Linked DNA regions of Diceros bicornis minor. The protein of the gene in region 3 interacts with the protein of the main gene of each other region in a pairwise test. Links are inferred from orthologs where the notes say so. Each region holds a gene or a part of one and is shown on either strand. Other genes may lie near its edges. The genes, in order: WAS, ARHGAP17 and TRIP10.

What was found.
Region 1: the proteins of TRIP10 (region 3) and WAS interact in a two-hybrid assay, tested with the Homo sapiens proteins (2 studies listed by BioGRID). The link is inferred for Diceros bicornis minor from reciprocal best matches to the Homo sapiens genes TRIP10 and WAS.
Region 2: the proteins of TRIP10 (region 3) and ARHGAP17 interact in binary tests that used the Homo sapiens proteins (3 or more experiments, as listed by UniProt). The link is inferred for Diceros bicornis minor from reciprocal best matches to the Homo sapiens genes TRIP10 and ARHGAP17.

Annotation. Positions count from the first base shown.
Region 1 is NC_080781.1:41,992,974-42,000,702, reverse strand, and holds the start of WAS (actin nucleation-promoting factor WAS), read right to left. Parts: upstream 3,938-7,729; 5' UTR 3,713-3,937; coding exon 3,581-3,712; intron 3,240-3,580; coding exon 3,099-3,239; intron 2,011-3,098; coding exon 1,924-2,010; intron 1,824-1,923; coding exon 1,721-1,823; intron 1,610-1,720; coding exon 1,568-1,609; intron 1,475-1,567; coding exon 1,421-1,474; intron 588-1,420; coding exon 413-587; intron 1-412. UniProt on the Homo sapiens protein: Effector protein for Rho-type GTPases that regulates actin filament reorganization via its interaction with the Arp2/3 complex. Important for efficient actin polymerization. Possible regulator of lymphocyte and platelet function.
Region 2 is NC_080765.1:27,005,131-27,012,859, reverse strand, and holds the start of ARHGAP17 (rho GTPase-activating protein 17), read right to left. Parts: upstream 4,484-7,729; 5' UTR 4,425-4,483; coding exon 4,372-4,424; intron 1-4,371. UniProt on the Homo sapiens protein: Rho GTPase-activating protein involved in the maintenance of tight junction by regulating the activity of CDC42, thereby playing a central role in apical polarity of epithelial cells.
Region 3 is NW_026691615.1:1,651,507-1,659,235, forward strand, and holds the start of TRIP10 (cdc42-interacting protein 4), read right to left. Parts: upstream 4,590-7,729; 5' UTR 4,554-4,589; coding exon 4,530-4,553; intron 3,350-4,529; coding exon 3,234-3,349; intron 3,146-3,233; coding exon 3,089-3,145; intron 2,300-3,088; coding exon 2,152-2,299; intron 2,067-2,151; coding exon 2,004-2,066; intron 1,814-2,003; coding exon 1,709-1,813; intron 1,619-1,708; coding exon 1,490-1,618; intron 885-1,489; coding exon 738-884; intron 629-737; coding exon 434-628; intron 1-433. Other genes in the region: protein GPR108, read left to right, coding at 6,742-6,861, 7,605-7,724. UniProt on the Homo sapiens protein: Required for translocation of GLUT4 to the plasma membrane in response to insulin signaling. Required to coordinate membrane tubulation with reorganization of the actin cytoskeleton during endocytosis.

The DNA.
Region 1 (7,729 bases), on a different chromosome or scaffold from region 3:
CATCTACCCACCCACTTCCCATTTACCCATCTATGCATCCATCCAACCACCTATCCATTCATTCTCCAACCACCCATTCATTCATTCATCCATCTATCCTTCTACCCACCCATCCACTCACCCACCAGCCCACTCAGGGTGGGACTAGGGTGAGGCAAGTGAGGTGCCTAGGGTGCAAAATTTAAGGAGGCACTCACTCTTGGAGTTGTGAATTACAGTTGAATGAGCCTGAGAGAGACCACCTCCATAAAGTTTGCGACCTTGGTGCCTCACTTGCCTCTCCCCTAGTCCCAGCCCTGCACCTACCCACCCATCCATCTGCCCATCCTTCCACTCAGCTCTCCTCCTGTCCACATGTTCATCTATTCCCCACTCCCAGGGATCTGTGGGCTCACTAGGGAGAGGTTCTCACTTGAATCCACTGGGTGCACCAATATCAGCCTTGCTGATCTTCTTCTTTCCTGAGCGTTTCTTATCAGCTGGGCCAGGCCCAGGTGCCGGGAGCCCACGGTATCGTGAACTCGTGATGTCTGGGTTCTGGATGTCCACTGCCACCAGTCCCAGGGCCAGCGGGCCAGCTTGTGGGCCTGTGGGGAAAATAGAGTGACTGGACCATTGACCCACTTACCTATCAACCAAAGCATATGGACAAGAGACAAGAAGACTGTTGGGGGAACTGATGTGTTTGATGGTCATGGAGGAAGTGGGTGAGGGGTCCAAGTAAGGTTTATTGAGAAGTGAGTGAGTCCTGCAAACCATTCATATATTCACTGATTCATTACTCATGCTTATCACTTAAGTATTGACTCATTCATTCACTCATTGACTAATTAGTAAATTACTCAATCATTCACTCAATCATTCATTCAATCACTGCTTTTTCACTGACTGAAATTTTGTCACTTATTCATTTATTCATTGTTCAATTCATTCAATCACTCACTCACTCATTCACTAATTTACTCAATCATCCATCCATTTATCCACGCACCCATTCACTTATACATCTATACATCCACTTATACATCTATCTATATTTTCATCCTCCCATCAAGTCATCCCCTGATTCGACCCTCTATCCACCAGCAATCCATCTATATTTTTATCCTCCCGTCAATTCATCCTCCCATTCAACCACTGATCCACCACCAGTCCATCCACCCACACATCCATTCACCCATTCATCCATCCATCCTCCCATACAGCTACATCCATGCACCTGCTCATCCACCCACATACCCTTCTATCTACCCATTCATCCACCCACTCACTCATCTACCCACCCATTCACTCACTTATCTCTGCACCCACCCACCTACTCATCCATCTACCCACTCCCCACCTATCCATCCATCCACTCCACCCATCCACCCCCCACCCACCCATCCACCAAGAGACACAGAGAAGAATCAGCACTCACCCCCTTGGTCTCCACCTGGGTGCGAGGGCAGTGGTGGGAGCCCTCCTCTCCTCTCTGGGAAGATGGAATGGGTAGAGAGCTATCACAACCCTGCCACAGGTTCCTGGGCTAGCCTCTTGTTACCCCTACTTGCACTAGAGGACTCACCTTCATTGGCTGGTGCTGGTGGTGGGGGTAGCTGGCGCCTGTCTGTGGAGAGACAGGTGGACTGGGAACCAGAACCATGAGAAGGGCTTTTCCAGCTCCCCACTCTTGCACTCACCTCTGCCCACCTCCTTTCCTCCCCCAAGGCCTCCTCACCTCCACTTTGCCTCTGATTCCTTTTTTGTATCTTCTCCTGCACCAGAGCCCGGAAGGCCTGGGCCTCGCCCTCGTCTGCAAAGTTCAGCCCTGCTTGGCAGTCCTGTACACGCCTTGGGGTCAGCAGACTTCCAGGCCCCCCACACCTTTCCCATCTCCTCCCCACACCCCAACTCTGGCCCAGGGGTTGGGTGGTCACTTACATCTCCAGCAAAGGTGTGGAAGAAGGGAGTGGGAGTAGAATAGACTAGCTGTGAGTACAGCTCCTGTTCCCAGAGCAGCCGGCCAGCCTGGAGAGGTACAGGGTGGGGAACACAGTGGCACTGAGGTGTGCCCTGGGTGGCAGGCCTCAGTTATCTGGGCAGGGAGCATAGTGTCCAGATTTAGGGCCCCAGGATCTGATTCGGAGATTTCCATCTCAGCATCAGAGAGTTGGGGGTCTAGGTGTCAGATGTGGAGGGTTGGGGTACAATATGGGAGTCAGATACTGCAGTAAGAGATTTGTATTTGCGGTTCAGGGCCCTAGATGTGGGACTTTGGAGCTTGAATTTGAGGATTTTGGACTCCAGTCCTAGGAAACTGAGCCCATTCATAGACTCCCTTCATTTGGGCAGGTAGGGCTCCAGTATTGGGAGTTGGAGTTGAGATTTGGGGGTTCAGACATGTAGATTTGGGTGTTGGGGGGGCAGGGTTCAGCCAAGTTATGTACAATTGAGGTTTGTGGAGCAGAGTTACAGCTTAGGAGTTTGGTCAATATTTGATGGCCCTGGGATCTTGATGTGGTTATGCTGGGTCCATCTTTACGGGTTTACAAGGATGAATTTGGGCGTTAGGCCTGGCGAGTTCAGGTTGGGGGTTTGTAGAACAGATTTTTGGCTTAGGAGCTGCTTCAGTATTTGAGTGTTCAGGAGTTTTAATACGGGAATTCTGGGGTCCATGCTGTGGGTTTAAAAGGACAGATTTGGAGTTCAAGACAATGGCATATTTAGGTTTAGGGTTTATGATTTATGACTTAGGAGCTACGCAAACATCTAGGGGTCAGGAGTTTTGATGGAAGATTTCTGGGAACCAAAATGTTGAGTTTAGAACAAATTTGAGGTTCAGGTAAAAATATAGTGCTCATGTTTTTGGAGTTTGTGGAACAGATTCAATTTAGGAGGTATACTAATATCTGGGGGTTTATAGATCTTGACATGGAGACTCTGGGGTCAGTCATCACAGACTTAGAAAGGCAAGCCAGAGTTTGACATCTGAATGAAGTCTTTGGTTCTGGGGCTCAGGAGTTCACTTATCTGTCCGAGGGTTCAGGGCTATGGACAGAGATCTGGGTTTGTGGGTTCAAAGCTGGTTTGCATGTCCAGTGGAGAGCAGGGGTCACCTGAAGGCCATAAAGGCGGATGAAGTAGGACTTCTGGGGGTTATCTTTCACGAAGCACACAGCCCCACAATGCTTCTTGGTCCAGTGCTTGGCTCCAGGGGGCAGCGCCAGGTACAGCTGAACAACCGCGGTGGCCAGTGTCTGGGAGAGGAGAGCAGGGCTCAGAGGAGTCTGGTCAGGGGCAGCGAGAGGGTCTGGGAGCCAGACCTGGTTCTTCCTTGCCCGTGGCTGTCATGGCCCTGAAGGAAGAGCCGCAGCCAGAGGGAAAGTGAGTAGACATTGAGATCTTCCTGGGACTGGTGAACGGGGGTAAGTGAATTCTAGGAGAGATGATGGAGAGGAGAAGGATGGGGAAGATGAGCAGAGAGGAAGGGGAGGAAAGGAGAGAGGGAGAGGATGGGGAAGATAAGGAGGTGGAAGAGGAGGAGAGGAAAAGGAGGAAAGGAAGGGAGACAGGGAAGGCCAGGAGATCCCCAGCTCACCCAGCATTTCCGTCCGAGCATCTCGAAGAGTCGCTGGTTCTCATGGTCCTGGAGGAGGGTGGAGGGTTTGTTCTGCTGAACCCCAGCTCCTCCGCGGCCCCCAGGCCTGCCTCCTACAGGGCCCCCACTCATGGTGCCTCCTGCCCTTGTCCTCTCCGGCCAGCCACTGGGTGCAGGGTAAGAAGAGGAACTTCCGCAGTGAGCAGGGGAACAGGAAGTGCAAAAAAAGCCACAAGGGAAACAAGTCCTCCAGGGGCCCCTCGGTGGGCCTGGTCTCCTCCTCCCTAGGACAGGCTCAGACCCTCCTCCCTCAGACTGGGGCCCTCCTCCATTTGACTGGTTAGACCCATCTTTTGGACCCGCTCACGTCCTCCTGCTTCTTTCTTACTCTCTGAGGCCCATCTCCCTCTGACTGGCTCAGACTCTCCTCCCTCTGATTGGCTGACAGCAAGATCTAGGCCACTGCAGCACTTCTACATGGGAGCAGGCATGGAACTGGGCGGCCTCCTTCTTCCCCAAAGCATCCAGTTAGTCTGTCCCGAGGTTCAGGGTCCCTAGTGCTGAAAGGTTACTTCGTTAAAGCTTTTCCTTTAATGACATAGCGAGTACCTGGGGTCCCACCCCTCTCCTGAGACCCAGACAACAGACAACGTGCAAGCTCTCGGCTCACTTCCCATCCCTTACCTCTGCCTCCTGCAACTCCCAAATTACTTTCTGCTTATCATCCCTTTTTGAGAAAGGAATTTTATAGCATATATGAATGCCTAAATAACATTTTGTTTACTTTTCATGGCTTTTGAACTTCTAAAAGTATGTAATCTTCGGAGACTTGCTTTTTCCCCACTCAACGTTCTATTTTTATCTACCAAACATTCATGTACCACTGACTGTGTGGTGCAGGCACTGTTCTGACCTCTTTGTATAATACTGACATTTCAATCCTCGTCACAGCCCATGGCACGCGCACTATTGCTGGGTCCATTTGACAGAGGGAAATGAGGGAACCAAGGCACAGATCGGTTAAATAATTTTCCCAGTAGCTCCCAGCTAGCAAGTGGTAGAGCTTGGATTGCACACCAGGCAGGCTGGGTCCAGCCAGAGAGCACGCTTTTCATGACTATGCTCCATGCCGTCTCTCTGTCTGTTACTAAGATTCGTATTTGCCTGTAGCATTAGCTGTTCATTGTCACTGCTACATAGTATTCTATTGTGTGGCTGTACAATTTGTTTATTCATATTTTCCTGTTAACAGATACTTGAGCTGTGTCTGGCTGCTCTGTCGGCTCCTGTGCACATCTCCTGGTCCGCAGGGGCATGCATACTCTCAGGAGGGTAATCCGGAGTTGTGGGGTTTGCACATCTCCAACTTCACTAGTTAATGCCAGACTGTTTCCCCAAGTGAATGCTAGCTCAGTCCTCACTCCTTCCTGGCCTCAGTTTCCCGTTTGGGGACGTGAAGCTTTCAGGCATACATACAGCAGTTCAGGGGAACTGAGCAGTCTGGGGTGTGACTCACATTCCTGGGTACCTGACAAGAAACAGGACATCTCAAGGTGGGACCCACAGTCCTGCCTGGAAACCTGCATGGCTCCTACACCCGCAGGTTCAAAGCTTCTCTCCTAGGCCTGGGCTCAAAGCCCCTTCTGATGTGGCAATTCCAACCTCCCTCCCTCCTCTCTCCCCTCACAACTCAGCTCATGGCGCCCTAACTCACCAGGCAATTTCATACCTCCAGGCCTGGAGCGCCTTCCAGCCTGGTCATTAGGGCAAGCCCCTACTTCTCCTTAAAAGGCCACTGCCTTCATTCATGTAACACTGCTCACTGAGCTCTCGCTGTGGGCCAAGCACATCTCCAGTATGTGGCACAAACTAGATGCTCAATAAATGTTTATCGAAGGAATGAATGAGGGATTCACATCTAATTTGATGCAGTGTTTTCTGAGCTTTTTCTAAGTGCCTTACATCTATGAACTCATTTCACATTCACAAACGACCCAATGAGATAAGCACTACTGTTATCCCCATTTTACTGATCGGGAAGCTGAGGCCCAAAGAAGCTTAGCTAACTTGCCCGAGATCACACAGTTTGTGAGTGGTAGAGCTGAGGCCAATTCCATGAGAAATCGTTCCTAAACTGTTAAGTGCCCCATGGGGGCCGAGATACAATTCTTCTGCTCCCTCTCTATGTCTTTTGTCCTCCACCTTCCTATTCCTTCTTCCTCTGCCCCTAGATCTGTCCTCTTTAAGTCTACATCAGGGACCTTAAAACTCTGCTACATTGGCTGGTTGTTTTTTAAATTAACATTTAAAAGTTGTATATTTCCTGTTCTTACTTCCAAGTAGCAGGTACGTTTAAAATTTCTATTTTTCTCTAAATAAAAAACCTGAAGTAGATTTTCGTGATTTTAGTCTGTAATAGAATGAGTTTCCTCACCCCGGAATATAGTGATTTATTAATCTTTTTTTTGTTTTTTTGTGAGGAAGATCAGCCCTGAGCCAACATCCGTGCTAATCCTCCTCTTTTTGCTGAGGAAGACCAGCTCTGAGCTAACATCTATTGCCAATCCTCCTCCCTTTTCTTTTTTCCCCAAAGCCCCAGTAGATAGTTGTATGTCATAGTTGCACATCCTTCTAGTTGCTGTATGTGGGACGCGGCCTCAGCATGGCCGGAGAAGCAGTGCGTCAGTGCGTGCCTGGGACCCGAACCCCGGGCCGCCAGTAGCGGAGCGTGTGCACTTAACCACTAAGCCACGGAGCCGGCCCTTATTAATCATTTTAATATCATGTTTCACATTATTCAGATTATTGAATCACTGTGTTGATCTGCATTAATAATTTGGAGCTCATTTACTTTACTTCTATGTGTTCCCATCAACTCTTGCTCTTCTGCACTGGAAGACAGTATTTGGTGAGGTGATGACCTCAAAGGTAATTTGCTCTCCTGGGCCTTCAAATAGATTTACAAACAAGACCAAAAATCTTAATCCAGCTTTTCTGATTGTTCTCAGCAAGAGAGCCATCAGTCCATCATGGCTGGGAGCAGAAGTTCTGACTTACTTCTCAGTAATCCACAGAACCCCCAAGAACCAGGATATGCCCAATAACTTACACCCACCTCATGCTCCTCCATCACTTCCCCCTGCCAACTCCCCAGGGGTCACCAGATGGAGAACCATTTCTTGTTTATATCTTGTGCTTATTTGCTTTATTTCTAGAGGATATTGCCTACAAATCTCGGTCGCCATGCCTAGAGCCCTGAGTAGGTAATAAGACACGAGGGTGTCTTCCACATTCCTGTCACCACCACGTGACTGAGTCCACGGAGGGGACATAGGCATGGGTAGGGTCCTACTTCTGTCCTCTAAGACCAAACTGAGGCCAATATGGCAACCTATTTCCATCACCACACCATCCTTCTCCTCCCCTTACCTTCCTGCCCCTCACGGTCCTCCATACCCCTGACTGAGGGGCACTTCCTGGGGACAGGCCCGACTTAAGGAAACAACAAATCCCAACCCTCTGACCCAATGCTCCCTTTTAATAAGAAACATTTTGGGAGGGCTCCTTTCACCATCCTGAAATGACATTTGTGTACTTTAGAAGTCTCGGTAGTGTGGGGCTGTTCCCCAGCATCTCAGGTCCTACCCACTCAATGCCCCCCATCATTGTGACAACCAAAGTCTACCTACCAGGAATTCCCAAAACACTCCCCCAGGGCAGACAGGAACAGGACCTTTGTCTGTCTTGTTCATTGCCGTGTCTCCACCACCCTACCAGGACCCTGCAGGCAGAAGCTCAATCAGTATTTGTTGAACAATCCTTGTACAGTCTAGATATCTCTGCTGTGATTTACTGTCCTCTTCCCACAAGGCTCCCCTTTCCTCTCTTCATCCTCCTGCCTGGGGAAAAGGGGGAGGAAAAACAACTCAGAGTGTGCAGGGCCCAGCTCCTCCCACAGAGGTGTCTACACTGTTCACTGATGCTCCGGGCAAATGGATGCTTTAGGGGATCTCAGGAGAGGGGCTGATTTCTAGTCCTGGCAGAGGTGGAGTGAGGACAGGGTGTGCACAGAAAAGCAGAGACACCTGGAGAGATAAGAATGGCTCAGTGGTTAGAACCACAGATTCTGAAGCCCTACAGCCTGGCTCT
Region 2 (7,729 bases), on a different chromosome or scaffold from region 3:
ACAGTATCCTTCCCTGGAGAAAAGACAGCCCCGTTTCTGTAGCTGGATGCACACGGGATCCAGAGTCCGAAGCCCTGGACTCAAGTCCTGCCTGGGCCACTTAGTCTGTGTGAACTGGGCAAGCCGTTTTTCCTGCTTTATAAAATAGAAATGATAATCACCAGTAGGCAAGAACTAAGCCAGGTGGTTTGGTACAGCACTTAGTAAACCAACCCACTATAGAAATGTCGATGACGATTACTATCAGATCTTTAAAGATTTCTATAAAGGAAAGGATGAGCTCTTCAACAAATCCAAAGAACTGGAACAGGGCAAAAAAAAAAAAAAAAAAAAGAAAAAGAATAACAGGGATCCTTAACCTCCAGGCCCTTCTAGTCAAGCGATTGCCAACTGGCCACCCACAGGCCAAATCTGGCCATGGACATATTGTGTTTACTCCCACATAGTGTCATGGGGTTTCTTAAATTGGTATGAAATGCCATTGAATTTTCATTAAAATCCAGATTTCAGGCTTTTCTCCAAAACTCCAAGTGTCAGCCACACTGGGCCCATATTCGCACATGCCCATTGCGTGAGACAAGCGCCCTCCAGGTCCCCCACAGCCCTCACCTGCTCTAAGTCACTCATTTATATTACCAGCCTGGCCCTCTAGGCACTCGAGTTTGTAACTGGTCTTATCTAAAGACAACCATCCCCCCCAGGGAGTACTTCACTCAGGGCAGAAACCAACCCCCATTGAGACACTCCCTTCTAGAGCCTCACCTGGATAATAAGCTCTCCAGTTAGTCCCTCAGAGTCCTTTCCTCCTGACACTTCTACCTTGTAACTAAACGTTTCTCAAGATGCTCACCCTGCCATATACCTTCCTCCACTGAGGAGCTCACCTCCCCAGAATTACCACCTGCGTTCACTGGATTATCTGCATCAAGGGTTTTCAAGGAAAAAAAGCATCTTTCTTTTCAGCAGGACTAGAAAAGACATGACATGATGTTTATTGTTTCCTGACCAGCACTCCTTCTCTCCTTCTGCTGGTAACAGCACCTCTGCTTCCCTTGGGGAGCCAGCGCTCCCCCACTCTCAGTCCCTGTGGTTTGGGAGGGGCTGACTCCATTCCCATTTCCAGAGAGAGGCATGTGACCCGGTCAGAAGCATTCAGTCAATCCTGGGACTTTGGCCACAGTGACTGGGGGAAAAGTATAATCTGTCCCTCGGGGACTTGAACTGAGGACAATGGAAGACTGGGGTCTTCTTGTAGACATAGGCTGTCTAAAAAGTGGAACCCCTGGATCCAACTCGGTCTGCAGCCATACTACTTCTGGACCCTTTGGTCACATTAGGAACCAATTAATTCCCATCTTTGCTTAAGGCAGTTTAAACTTGTTTTTCTTACAACCAAGAGATCTAGTCACTACAAGAGAAACTTGAAAGAAGTGCTCAAAGATGGAAAAAAAACCAAAAGGTTCTCCTCAGATTTTCTCCTGTGTTTTTGGTACCTCCCTCCATCTAATAAGAGCTGGGTTTTCTCTGTGTATTAGCCATCCCTCTAGAAGCACTTATCTCAGGGTATATAATTATTGTTTGGATTGCTTATCTCTTCCACAGATCTATTGAGCTCCTTCAGGACAGAAACTCTGTTCTATTCACTTTTGAGTCTTTAATACCTTGCACAATGGAACACAAGTGGAGCTTACTGAGGGTCTGTTGAATGGATGAATCAACAACCGCAGAAGAACAAAAGGAATCATCCTAATTCTCTACCTTGGGACACCCATATCTTAAGACCAGCTCATCAGCCTTGCCCCTGTGATATACACACCATCTTCTGAAACAGACTCATCCACCCATTGTCAACAAATGGCATCATGAAAACTCACTCCTCCCAGCCATTACTAATTCTCCCACAAGTCTGTCCCATGGAACCTCACTGTGGGGTTACTCACAAGGTCCTCATTCTGGGAAAAGAACACTTCATTGCAAGACACCACATAGAACTCTGTGAATTGATAGCACACACACGGCCATGCCATTCACACACGTAACTTCAATCATTAATGGGGGGAATAAGGGCGGACCTTCTTTGCTTTCCAGTCTTCATTTTGACCCAAATACACCCAGTATCCTGATTCAGATGCCCACAAACCATCTGATTCCACACAATAACAATTCTAGGCTCTCTCCTGCCTCCACTTTCCCTCTCTAGTCCTTTACAATCACTCAAGTGGAAAAAATACAAATATAACTAGGAAATCAACAGCAATAAAGCACAAATTCCCCAATAAAAACAGTTTTGACTTTGGGTGCATAATTGCCACACCCTTAATAGCTCTGTAATAGCAGCAGCTTCCACTAGCATCGAGCAATAAAGATTTTCAAACGGAGTCAAAGGGCAGGGCCAGAATGAATCACCATTTACTCTATCCAGTTCTCGTTTTCCCATACTTGGGCCCGCATCACCAAGGCAATCTAGTAATAAGTAGATTTACAATAGATTAAAATATCTGTTGAGCATCTACCATGTGATAGGAACCTCAGAGGACCCTGGCAACCAAAGGAGAAAGACAGAGCAAGGACTCTCAAGGCGTTTAGTGGAATGGAGAACACTGACAAGTGAAGAGGCGATGACCTTAGAGAAAGACAGGCGCTCCGTGTAATCCTGAAAGCGCCCAGGAGGGCCATCAAGTCTATGTTGGAGCATCAGGGAAGGCTTTTTAGAGGCAGAGACCTTTACTGGAGACTGAAGAATGAGTAGGAGGTGGCTATGGGGCAGGTGTAGTGAAAGAGGCTTCCGGAAAGTTCCAAGTAGAGGCTAAGAGCTAAGAGAGCATGGCCTTCTCTGAAAACTAAAACGAGGCAGGTAAGGCTGGAATTTAAAAGTGTGAAGAGGAAGCTTAAAAAGCTACAGAGGAAGCAGGGGCCAAAGAGACTCGGAATGGCTTTGCAGCTTTAAAAGCCTCAGAACTTGTAATGAAAAACGAAAAAGAGCAAACAGCCCTTGCCTGATACAATGTACAAAACGGCCAAAATGACAATCTGACAAATTTCTCTTGACACTCACTAAATATTGATTCCACAATGCATGTTACTGAGACACTGAGAGGGTGGAAGACTCATAAGGAATTATCTTATAATTGGCTCCCCGAGTCTTGGCTGAAACATTAGTCTCTCGACTACTCTGCCTACCTTCCTCTCAGTATTATTTCTATCATTTTCCTACAAATATCTGAAAACTGCGCACATCTAGCTTTAGGGGACAGGGATTAACTCTGGAAACAGGATAAATGCACACCAAGATAACAGAGTGGGAGACCAGAAAATTAAACAACAAAACTAAGCAAAAAGTTGAGGGAAACGAAACACTACATAGCAAATTTAGAAAACCCAAGAGGAAGTAAAAGTATTTTCATATTCACAAAAAAAGAAGTGTCCCCACGTGCTTTTGCCAAACCAAACTCCCCCTTTTACTTAAGTGTTGAAAAAAGAAGCAAAAGCTGTGGGAAATTCATACTTTCATCTCTCTTCACAGAATGAAGAGTAAACGGGTACAGCACAGCTGAGTGCCCTGGGAGAACTTGGAAATATTGACCCAGGTAATACCGCACGTGACAATCACCCGGAGAAGCTCTCAAAACCACAGATCATTCCTGGCCCCACAGCCTGACCCGCTACAAACTCTGGTCTATTCTGTCATTTCACATCAATGCCGGTCAAGCACTACAACAGGACCAAAGAAACATGGAGAAGTGTCTGCTTCCAAATCCAAAGGGAGAAAGGCTTTTTTTAAAACAATTTTTTCTTTAATTGGTGCACGGCATCTCCACATTCCTCTTTTCCCAAATCCTAATTTCTCAGCGTCAAGAACTTGCACACCTAGTTCATCTTCGCCCTAGTGTGGAGACAGCACCACCTCTAACTTCCCTCAAAGGGCGTCTGAAACCCCCTGAGCCAATCCCACTGGCTGGAAGACCCTTCACTGGTTCCTCCATCTGCACCTGGACCTGAAGGGTCTGCACAGCGGCCCGGAGAGGCTGAGAATCGCCCCCCAGCCCGGGGCGGCCCAGCCTCAGGCGCCCAGTGACGGGAGTGGTGGCCCCAGGCAGCGAGCCCGGGCAGCAGGTCTCGGGGAGGACAGGGGAAGGGGCAGGTCCCTGCTCTCCGGGGCGGGGACACGGGCAGTGGGGACCCCGAGCGGGGTACGGAGGGAGGCGGCTCGTCCGGCCACTTTCTGGGAGCCAGGCCGCGGCGTGGTGCAGCCCCGGGGCCCCGGGCCGCCTGGCCTCCTGGCCTCCGGCGGGGCCGCGGCCGGGCCCTGAGCCGCCCGCCGCGGAGGAGGCGGCCCGCCCCCCGACCCCGGCGCCCGGCCCGGGCACTCGCCTGCCCACGGTCTGGTTGGCCAGCTGCTTCATGCGGTTGAACTGCTTCTTCATGGCGGCGGCGGAGGCGGCCCGCGGGGCTCGGGGCGGCGGACGAGACGGCCCGGCGGCTCCTCCACCGCTTCCCGGCCCAGGCGGCGGCGGCGGCTCCCCAGGCCGGCGGCCCCGCCCTCCCGCGTCACTTCCAGCGCCGCCCGTCGGGCCGCCGGGGCAGGAGCGCAGGGCAGGCCCAGGGCGCGGCGTGCAGCCAGGCCTCGGCCGTGGGCCCGCGTCGGTCCCCGAGGAGGACGACCCGCCGGGCTGAGCGGGCTCGGGCCTCCGGTCCCCTAGGACCTCGATGTCTTTTCCTCATCAATGCTTCCTCCACGGATGTGAAACTCACTTCCCTGACTAGATTCAAACACGAGTTGACGAAAGCAGACACACGGCGTGTCCACGCTGTGACACCCCGTATCACAAGAGCCCCCAAACTAATCCAGGGGACCCCTCTCCCTGCAGGGCTGCTCGGGGAGGAGGCGAGGCTGTGGGGAGAGGACCCGGGAACTGTCTGGATGATGGAAATGGTCAGTGTCTTCATCAGGGTCGTGCTTATGCGCGGGTGTAGACATTTGTCAAAACACACTGGTTGAACTCTTCAGATGGGTGCCTGTCACTATGTTAATTTTACTGCAGACTTTTAAAAAAAATTGTTGCGTGAAAATCACCAGCTGTAGGACAATACGGACCGTGTGCTACACTTGGTGACATCAGAGCAATGGGTCCTCTCTTCACAGCGCGGACACGCGCACGGGGGAGGCCGTGTGGGGACGGCCGCCTCCAGAGCGGCTGTCATGGCGGCCGGCGCGAGGTGGCAGGAGGGGCGCTGGCACCGGGGACGTCACTGGGGCAGCGGGAGAAGGGGCCCGACCCCGCGGTGGGAAGTCATCGGGATGAGCGGAGGCCCCGGGTGACAGGGTGGGTGGGGAGGGTGACTGGCGACCCATTGGTGAGGTCCAGGGCCAGGCCCCGGGCTCCAGGCAGCCCCTCCCCCACCCCGGCGGTTGGCGCCCCCACCCCACCCCCACCCCGGAACCCCGTTGCCTAGGAACCCTCGGCGTGTTTGGACTCTTCGCCTCGCGCAGGCGCCGGTGCCCCACACTTGGCGGGACTGGCCGACTGGGCTGGACGCTTTGCGCCGAGCGGACCAGGTCAGCTCTGCGACCCGCGGTGATGGCCTCCTGGTTTGGTGGCCTAGGCTCTGGCTTAGGCCATTCCCTGGGGCAAGTGGGCGGCAGTGTGGTTTCCCTCACTGGACACATCTCTAACTTCACCAAAGATGTGCTGAGGAAGGGAAGGGAGAAGGCGGAAGAGTCACCGGACTCTGGGAGGACGAAGATGGAGGACGTTCAGGTAATTGTAGCATCAGAGGAGAGACTGAGAACCCAAGCTTTGAGAAAAGCTGAAAGTTTACAGCAGACCGTGGAGGAAAAAGACACAAAGCTTGCCTCCATGAGAGAAGAAAACAGTCATCTGAAAGAAGCCCTGGAACGACTGAGAGAACAGACTGGAACTGCACCTGTGGTTGACCCTAAAACCCTGGACAGGGTGACACGACTAGAATCTGAGGTCTCTCAACTGAATTTGATAAAAGGTCATCTGGAGGAGGAAGTAAAACATCATCAAAAGATATTTGAAGAACATGACCAGAGGAAGACAGAACTCCTTCAATCTTTACAAGAACAGAAACAGGAAATGGATGAACTTAGATACCAGTATGAGCAAATGCATATAAAACACACTCAGCTCTTTTCAGCCAAAGATGAGGAAATTAAGAATTTGCAAAAGACAATAGAACAAATCAAAACCCAGTTCCCTGAAAAAAACAGCACATGCAGACAAAACATTCTGAGATTTTTCTGATACCGAAAGTTCAGAGTTTTAATATGGAAAACGGAAGTGAAAAGCATGATTTATATAAAGCTGAAACTGAAAGATTAGGAAAAGGAAGAAAAGAACAGGAATGGGAGATGAAACTTCGAACTGAAAAGACTGTCCCTTTGAAGGAGCAGATTGATCAGCCATACAAAGATGGATTGGTCAACTAACTCGGATTATCCAGCAAAAAGAGTTGGAGATACAGGGTCTTGACGCTAGAATAGCTTCAGCTCCCTACATCCAGGCTGTTGGGGACCTTCAGCAGCAATTGCAAGCCTATGCTTTGGAAAGGGAACAAATATTAGCTGTTTTCAATGAGAAGGTGAGGGAAAACAGCAACCTGAAAAGAGAGTATCACAAAATGGTGGACATACTGGTTGCCAAAGAAGCGACCTCGTGAAGCTGCAAGATGAAAATACAGAATGGTCCACAATATTTGAAAGTAGTGGTCAAGGGGCAGCCTTGTGGCTTAGCGGTTATGTGCACACGCTCCACTATTGGCAGCCGGTTCTGATCCGGGCAGGCACCTACGCACTGCTTGTCCGGCCGTGGTGAGGCGGCGTCCCACATATAGCAATCAGAAGGATGTGCAACTATGAGGTACGACTATCTACTGGGGCTTTGGGGGAAAAAAAGGAGGGGTATTAACAATAGATGTTAGCTCAGGGCTGGTCTTCCTCACAAAAAAAAAAAAAAGAAAGTAGTGATCAGGATATGTCTAGAGAAACGATTCCAAACTTATCACATCATTTGAGCAAAAGACGTGGAAATCGCTGCCTTGAGTCAGAAATGTCAGACTTTATGGACAATCTTGCAGACATCTGGCACTGGCAGTGAGGTTGGAGGGGTTACTGTGAATCAGTTGGAGGAGCTTCTGCAGGAACGTGACACGTTACAGCAGCAGGTCTCCATAATGGAGGACTGGACACAGCAAGTGATGACCGCGGTGCACAACACGCAGCGAGAGTCAGCCCAGCTCCAGAAAGAACTTCCACAGCTTCAGGCTCGGGTCTTGATGGACAGTGAAAATAAGTCTCAACTACAGATTACCTCTACTGACCTGATCCAAAATTATAAAGAGGATGAAATCTAAGTCACACATTTGGCAAAGAAATTAGCACGAATGCAGCTCAGCCTAGGGCAGCTGTGCAATGCCAAGGACGTTCTTTTAGGTCCACTTGATGTTATTGCACCACAGCCTCCCACCACATCATCGCTCACTTCAGAGTCAGCCAACTCTCTGAAGGCAGCTAGATCTGGTGCAGTGAGTGAGTCTTCTAAAGCACTCCCAGAAGAGATAGAAGAGTTAAGGAGATCCACGGAGTGAAAAGAGGCAACCATTAGAAGCCTCCAGGAGGGAGAATCAGAGACTCTCTGCGGAGATTCCTGCCACCTCCGAACTAGACAGAAAACAACACGAACAAACAGAATCCGAAATCCAGCAG
Region 3 (7,729 bases):
CGGGGAGTGTCGAAGGTGTAAACCAGGGGTGTCCAGGTATGTGCTTGACATTGAAAGCCAAAAATCCCCAGAAAAAACAGCCTGAGGGTCAGGGACCCAGGGACCCATCGGCAGGACGGAGAGACACTCGGGGTGTCCCGAGGGCCAGCATCCCGCGCCCTCGCCCAGCCCTGAATCCCACAAGCAGGTCTGCTCCCAGCATCCTGAGAAACAGCAGAGAGACGCCACGGGTCCCCCTCCCACCCCCCCCTCCGCCTCGGGGGACTCCCAGGCCAATCGCCCGGCGGCCTTCCTTCCCTCCAGCCCGGGCTGGCAGCCAAGAGGAAAATTCCTGCCCGGGACTCAGCGTTCCGGCAGCTACGGCTGACTCAGTGGGGGCCCCCGCTGTCCCTGCTCACACCCACACCCCCACCCCAAGGGCCCCGGCCCCCACCTTGTTCTTCTTGCTGAAGGGCCAGCGTTTGGCACGGCTGCGGCCCGGGCCTCGGAGCTCAGGCCGTCCATCGGAGGGGGTACCCAGGCTGCTGTCTGAGGGCGCGCGGTTCATGGGCTGGCTGAAGTCTTCGAATTCCACGTCGCCAGGGCGGGCAAAGCCTGACTTGTGCAGTTCGATGAGGACCTGGGAGTCCTGCGGGGAGGGGACGGCGGGGGGACAGTGAGGGGTAAGACAGGTGTCTAGCCCTCGGGATCCTCCTTCTGCCCACCCCGTGGTCACTGGCCCGCGACCAGGCACCCACATGCTTGGCATCCACGGCATCCGCAGCCACCTTCATGCCCTCTAAACACTTGGCGATGATGGGTACCACCTGGAGCTCAGCCTCTGACAGGAGCCCGTACCCAGCCCCCAGGTGGGTGGCCCGGCGCTCATCCATGTCTTGCAACTTCTGTGGGGACAGGGACAGAAGTGCTAACGGAGGGGGCGGTAGCAGAATGAGTCACTCCGCAAACATGATGGAGATCCACACTGGCCCCAGCCCCAAGCCCAGTCTGGTGGGGAAAACACAGAATCGAGCACAGAGACTTCCAGCCCAGTGAGGTCAGGGGAGAGACACAGGGCTGGGGAGATTTCAGAGGGGACTTGGAGGACCGCCCTCTTGCCTAGGGAGTTGGGAAATGCTTCTCAAAGGAGGTGACAACGGAGCCAGGGCTTTGAAGAAAAAGCAAACCCAGCATAGTTACTGCCAGTCCCAGGGTTGGAGCAGAGAGTGGAATACGCGGCTGAAACAGAAGAGGGGAAATTCAAGACCCTTCAGAGCGGTTGTTGGTGCTGGGGCTTTGAAGAATGAATAGGAGTTTCAAAAGGAAAGAAAGATATCCCTGGCAGAAAAAAACAGCTTGAGTAAAGGCAGAGCTCACTGTTCCTATTTGTTTCTAATTCCCTTTCAATTTAGAGACTGGAACATTGCAGCTGGGGTTTTGACAAATGGGTAGGAGTTGGTGAATTTGGGGGTTTTTTGGGAAGGTGGGGCTGGGGGCTTGGAGCACTCACATCAAATATCTGGGGCATCTGGGAAAAATAGAAGTGGGCCTGGTCTCGATTGAAGCGCTGTAGTTGGGCCGCGTACTCATTTTTGCTTTCTTCTGCCATGTGACTCCGAAGGTGGGCTTGTTGCTTGGCCTGAGGAATATCGGGGAGGGGGTTCCTGCCAGGTTCTGGCCCCGTCTCACCCTGACTGACCCCCAAGCCTGTCCCAGACCCCACAAGCACCTTCTCCACATCAGCCTTGGTGGCGTTGATATCCTGGTCTAGCCGCTCAGCCGTCTGAGCCGCCTTTTCCGCCTCCCGGCAGTCTCGCTCAAATTTACGCTTACTCTGTATTGGGGACAGAACCACAATGAAGGAGCCCCCGTCCCCGAGGTAGGGAGGTGGGAAACCACGGTTTCAGGGAATGGAGGAAGTCACCTAGCAAATGTGGGACAAAGGGCACACTGGAAACCCACAGACAAAGGAGGAAGGTCCGTGGATCAGGGGCCAGAACCACCCTCCATGCCCACAAACTCACATTCTCCAGCTGTTTGAAGCCACTTTCCAGCTGCTGTTGGGCCCGACGGCCTTCCTGGAAGTGCTATGGTAAGAGAAGCCATAAGCTCACCTGGGTTGCAGCAGGAACCCTCCAGAAGTCCCAGGGGTGGGGGGCGGGAATCACTCACCATCTTTCTCTCCTGTTTCATCTCCTGCGAGTACTTAGCCAGCTCGAGACACACGCGGACGCTGAGGTTCTCAGCCACCAGCTCCCGCTGGCCCGCAAAGTCGTTTACCTCCTGTAGAATTTGCACGAAGGACTGATGCTGGCTGAACCTGGGGACAGGTGGGACGGACACTCATTCAGAAGCAAAGATAAATTCGGGTCCACATCCCTGACCCCCAACCCCAGAGTGATGCATTTCGGAACTCAGAATTTTTCAGGTTTTAGCAAGGGAATACGATGCTTATACCACTTTTATGCATGACCCCAGTGGTTGGGCGGCATCCTGCAATCAAACACCATAAATATTTTTGCAGTGAGAGGTATTAATATTCACACTAAGTGGGATAAAAACGACGACCGTAATGAACGTAATTACCATCAAGTCAGTTCAGGTCAGAGGTTGCCTCCAATCAAGTTGCTGGAAAAACTTTTGATGTCTAGAGCTTTCTGGATTCTGGAACCCAGGATGCAGAATAAAGTGAAATGTTCCTACGCACTTACTACAGACTGGGCACTGTTTTAACCCATTATCTCGGTTAATCTTCCCTTGAGCCCTACAAGGTCATCGTCATCATCCCCATTTCACAGATGAGGAAAACAGAGGCACAAACTCACTTGCCTAGAGTCTATCATTTAGTAACTGCTGGAGTCTCCCTCATGTATTAGGCGGGGGAAAACAGAAGCTTGAGTCAATGGCCCAAAGCAGTTAGGGTAGAAAGTAGTGGATTTAGGATTCCAATCCAGGTAGCCAGACCCTGCAACCATGCTCTTATCTCTAGGTAGGAATTGAGGTGAAAGGCGAGGGACTTGCTTGGGAGGCTCAGCCGAGGAGGAGGAACTAGAGCCCACACCCCCTTCCCACCCCAAAATCTAGCCCTGCATCCCCTCTCCATCCTTACTTGGACTCAGGGTCATCTTTGGCAGGTCTCTTGGGCAAATATTTTTTCACCAGGTTCCTAAGGGGAGAGAGAGACAGGAAGGCTGAGCCCCCAGCCCTCCAACGGCTCCCCCAAGCCCCAGGGCGCTCCCACCCTAGGGTCTCACCGAAGCTGTTTGGCATAAGCCTGTTCCACCTCTGTCCGCTCTTTCACGAACTTCACGTATCTGTCCAACAGGTCCAGCCCCCACTGGGTGTGCCGTTCGAGCACCTCAAACTGATCCTGGCCGGAAGGAGGACGAGGAAGGGCCGGGGTCAAGACCTTGGGACCCCATGGCCTGCGGACCAGGCGCCCCGGCTGCCTCGAGGCTCCAGCTCCGAGAAGGAGTGACTTCCCGGCCCCGCCCCGGCGCAGCGCGGGGGGAGACAGGAAACCGGCGGGAACCCCCTCCCCTTCCCGGGAAGAGCCAGGGAACAGGGGCGGGGCCCCAGCCGGACGACAGGGTCCCCGTCTCCGGACAGCCAAGCGGGGTGTGGAATGGGGCAGGGCCACTCCCCCTGCCCCAGCTCTTCTAATTCCCCCCAGATTCCGGAAAATCCGGCCGGCCCGGCGTGAGTCAGGGCCAGAGGGGCAGGGTTCCCTGCGGCTTGGGGGCCCCAGAATGGCCAGGCAGCAGGCACCAGGTCCCCCAGGTCGCCATGCTTCGCCGGGTCCCCCGATGGGTGACTCAGTTTCCCCTACTGACTCCACTGCACCTCCAAAAGAAATTCCAGTGTTGAGGGAGGGAGGATCTGGCTACCTCGCTACACCCAGGAACCCAGGGATGCCACCGCCTCCAGAAAGAGGAGGGGACAGAGGTCCCGGCTAGGATAGGGGGAAATTCCTGGGGCTTCCTGAGCTGAGGTTAGAGGCGGCCTGGGGGCGGCCCCTCCCTGGCCTGGGGCGGGCAGGGGGAGGGGGCTGAGGCCGAGCCTTGCAGCCCCCTCCTCCCCCAGAGGGTCCCAAGCCCCTAGGTGTTGATTAGAGGCGACAGAAAGGGCGGTCAGGACTTCTAGGTCCCACGTGGGGTTGCAAGTGGCCAGAGGGTCCCCTCCCCCCCACCAGCCAGACAGGCGGGCGGCGGGCAGGGACCCAGGGGCCGTAAGATAAGCCGCTGGCCCAGCCAGGACGCTCAAAATAGGTGACCTCGCCCGGCCGCCCCGGCCTGGTCCCAGGACTTCTTCTGGGCCCTCCTCACTCTGCACCCCGTGCCTCAGTTTCCCTACGCCGCTCCTGCAAGGTCGCCCTTTGCCCCCGGGCGTCCTGAAACGCCCTGGGACACTCCGAGAGAGGGCGGAGAGCGGAGACTCCAAGGATCGGTGGAAGCGAAGGCGCGGAGCCCCCGCTAAGCTACTACAGGGGCAAAGTTGGGGGGTCTGGACCTCAGGAAGGGGGAGCTCGGAGCCGGACCGATAGGACTCACCCACAGCTCGGTGCCCCAGTCCATGCTGCTCCCGCCGAGGCCGCAGCCGCGCCCGGTCCCCGCCGCCCGCCGCCACCCGCCGGGAGACTCAGCCCAGGGCGGTGCTCCGGCCCCGCCCCGACCCCGCCCACTCCCCGCTAGGCCACGCCCCCAAAGGCTCAGCCACGCCTCCACCCCGCAGAACCCAGCACAGCGCCCTAAAGGTGGGGCCCCCGAGGAGGCGGGGCCCGGCGGACGCTCCGCCCCCTTTTAAAGGAACGTGGCCACTGGACCGACCCCTTAAAGGACCCCCACCCATTTTCGAAATCCCCCGGGCACCTCTTATCCTCCCCACCCCTGCCCCGCCCCGAACTGTTCCTCCTTCCCTCTTTCCAGTCAACCATTCCTTAAAGGGCCAAGACACTAAAACTCCAACCCAAGAAGTCTTTCCCCCACCCCGTCGCAGAGAGAACCTGAGGTCACCCGGCTCTTGCGGGCCGGCCCGGCTCCAGAGCTCTACACTCGTCTCACTAATGGTCTGGTCCCTCCGGCCACAGGGCGGATGGGAGGACTTCGATCCTGTCCAGGACGCGCCTCTGCCAAGGCCGGGTCCATTAGCGCCCCCACCGCATCCTGCCTCTCCCCCCCCCCACCCCCCCGAAAATCGCCGGGAAACTGAGGACGGGCCGTCCTTGGAGCGCCCGGCCCAGGCCTTTCCCCAGCTCCCATCCAGTTCACGCTTGCACCTGCCCAGTTTCCAGTCGCATCCATTAAGGCCCAATCAGGTTTAATTGTCTGCACAGACTCTGGGATTCTAACTCCGTCTCCGCACCTCCCCCCAGATACTCGAGCCCTGGGGCTTGGAAGTCTGTCGCCTCCCTCATAAAAGTCTGTTCACACTTTGTTAATCCCTTTGAGGCACTGGGATGAAAGGGCAGAGGTCCCAGCAGCTCCCACCCTCACTTTCTCCTGCCTTTGGTACTTTGTGGCTACAGAGGTGACAGACGCCCTGCTGGGGCTGGGGCCCCCAGGTCCCCGGGGAGGAGTAGGCTCTGAGCCCCCAGGCTCCCAGTACACAGACTGGTGAACCTAGGAGGATAGCTCCCTGGAGCTCACACTGGGACAGATGGCTCTGCGGGGACCTGGCCCCCCCTGCTGGTGGCTTCTGAGCTAGGAAACCTCAAGGTGCAAAGTGGGCTGTGCTCCAGAGGCTGGGGATCAGATGGAGTCAGGGACTCAGCTTGGGATTAGGGTCTCAACCCTGGTCTCCAACTCAAACCGAATTTCGGATTCATCCCAGATCGCCACCACAGCTGGGATGGGGTCTCAGAATGGGGTCGCAGGCTTAGCAGCGGGTTCAGCAATCCAGTTGGGGGTCTGGGACTCAAACTAGGGCCTAAGGGTCAGGGCTCAGTCCAAGTAGGGGGCTCAACCAGAGACTGAGGCTCAGTGTAGGTCGAAGGTCAGAAAGAGGTGGGGGAGTCTGGGTTTCAGGCTGAGGTCTGGGCGGAGTTGCAGAGAGGTTGTTCAGCCCAGCCCGGGGTCAGGGTTCAGCCCATAATCAAGCCCAGCCTGGGATCTGCAGGTGGGCCTCCAGTTGCCTCACTCTGGGATAGGAGGTTCCGCCTACGGCTGGGGACTCAGCCTGAGGTCATAGGTCATCCTATGGTCAAGAGTTAGCCTGGGGCCAGGTTTAGGCCTCTCGGTGGATCAGGAAGATTAGGAGAACAGGACAGGCCGCAGCAGATGCGTGTGTTTACCAAAAGCCTCAGTTCTGGCTGGGAGCCACATCCCAGGGATAAGACGGGGGATGTCGGTCCTTGGGGATACTGGGAAGTGAAGTTTATTGACTGCCCTGTTGCGCTGCATTCTGGGTAATGTAGTCTCGGATCGGTCTGTCAGTTAAGCGTGGATTGAGGAATTCCGCTTCAAGGGCCGGATATCGGATCCATCACAATTGGTTAGATGGACTGTTCATCAAATTACATCCGGAACAATATTCCTAGTGATTGGTGAAAGGGGAGGCGGGGTTAAGCGGTATCGGCACTCCTATTCGGAGCTGGTGTTGTCCATTTGGCGTTGTGCGGGGGCGGGTTTGCGAGGAGACGATCGCTGATTGGCTGGACGGGCTGACAAAGCCGAAGGGTCGGGCCCCACCGTGCAGCGATTGGCTCACGGGTAGGCGGGCTTAGGGGAGTCAGAGGCGGTGTTAGGGGAGGCGGTGGCTCCAGAAATGGCAGTGAGCGAGAGGAGGGGGCTCGCCCGCTGGAGCCCCGCTGAGTGGGGGCAGCGGCTCCTTCTGCTGCTGCTATGTGGCGGCTGCTCTGGGCGCATCCACCGGCTGGTGCTGACGGTGAGTCCCGCTGCGCTGCAGTCCGGGGTGGGGGACGCAGCTTTGTCCCGGAGAAGCCTCTGGCTTGGAGTGGTCTCATCCTACCTCCCCTGCTCCTTACGCGGGATGGAGCGGTCCGGCGCCCCCCGCTTCCGGGCCCGGAGTGGGCTCGTCTTGGTAGCCCCCTCTGTCCTCCCGATGGAGTTGCCCGGTCGACGGTGCCCGTCGGGGGCGGGGCTTCATGTGCCGGGAGCCTTGACTTTTGGCCTTCCAAATTCTCGGGATCGGTTTGGGGGCGCTAGGGACCTTGGCCTCGCCCATGGGAGACCCTGGGGGTTCTAGAATGGGGTCCTCTAGGCACTCATTGGGATCTTGGGGGCTCAGTTGAAATCTCGGCACGCTGGGGGCTCAGATGGAATTTAAAAATTTTCCGGAAGGTGGGGGCAGGCACACCGAGATGAATAACTCTGCTCTCTGGCCGGTGTTCACTCAGTGGGGGGACTTCCAGGTGCCCCAGGCTTTCTCTTCCTGGGCTTTCAGAACAGTGGCCACAGGATCAGGGGCCACCCTGTCCCTGCCTGGGATGGGTCTGGGGTCTCGGCCACCAGGAAGGCCCTCTCAGCCTCTCCTGTCACCCTTTGGACCTGTCCTAAATATGGGGATACCAGGAGGGGGCCGAGGCCCTCGGGGGAGCCTCGTGCCCCAACCCTGGGGCTGGGCTGGTGGGAAGTCTGAGCTGCTTCTGCATCCTTGATCTCCGGCAGGGGGAGAAGCGAGCAGATATCCCATTGAACAACTTTGGCTTCTACACCAACGGCTCCCTGGAGGTGGACATGAGCCTCCTGCAGCTGGGCCTCCAGAAGACGGAAGAGCAACAGCCACTGGTGAG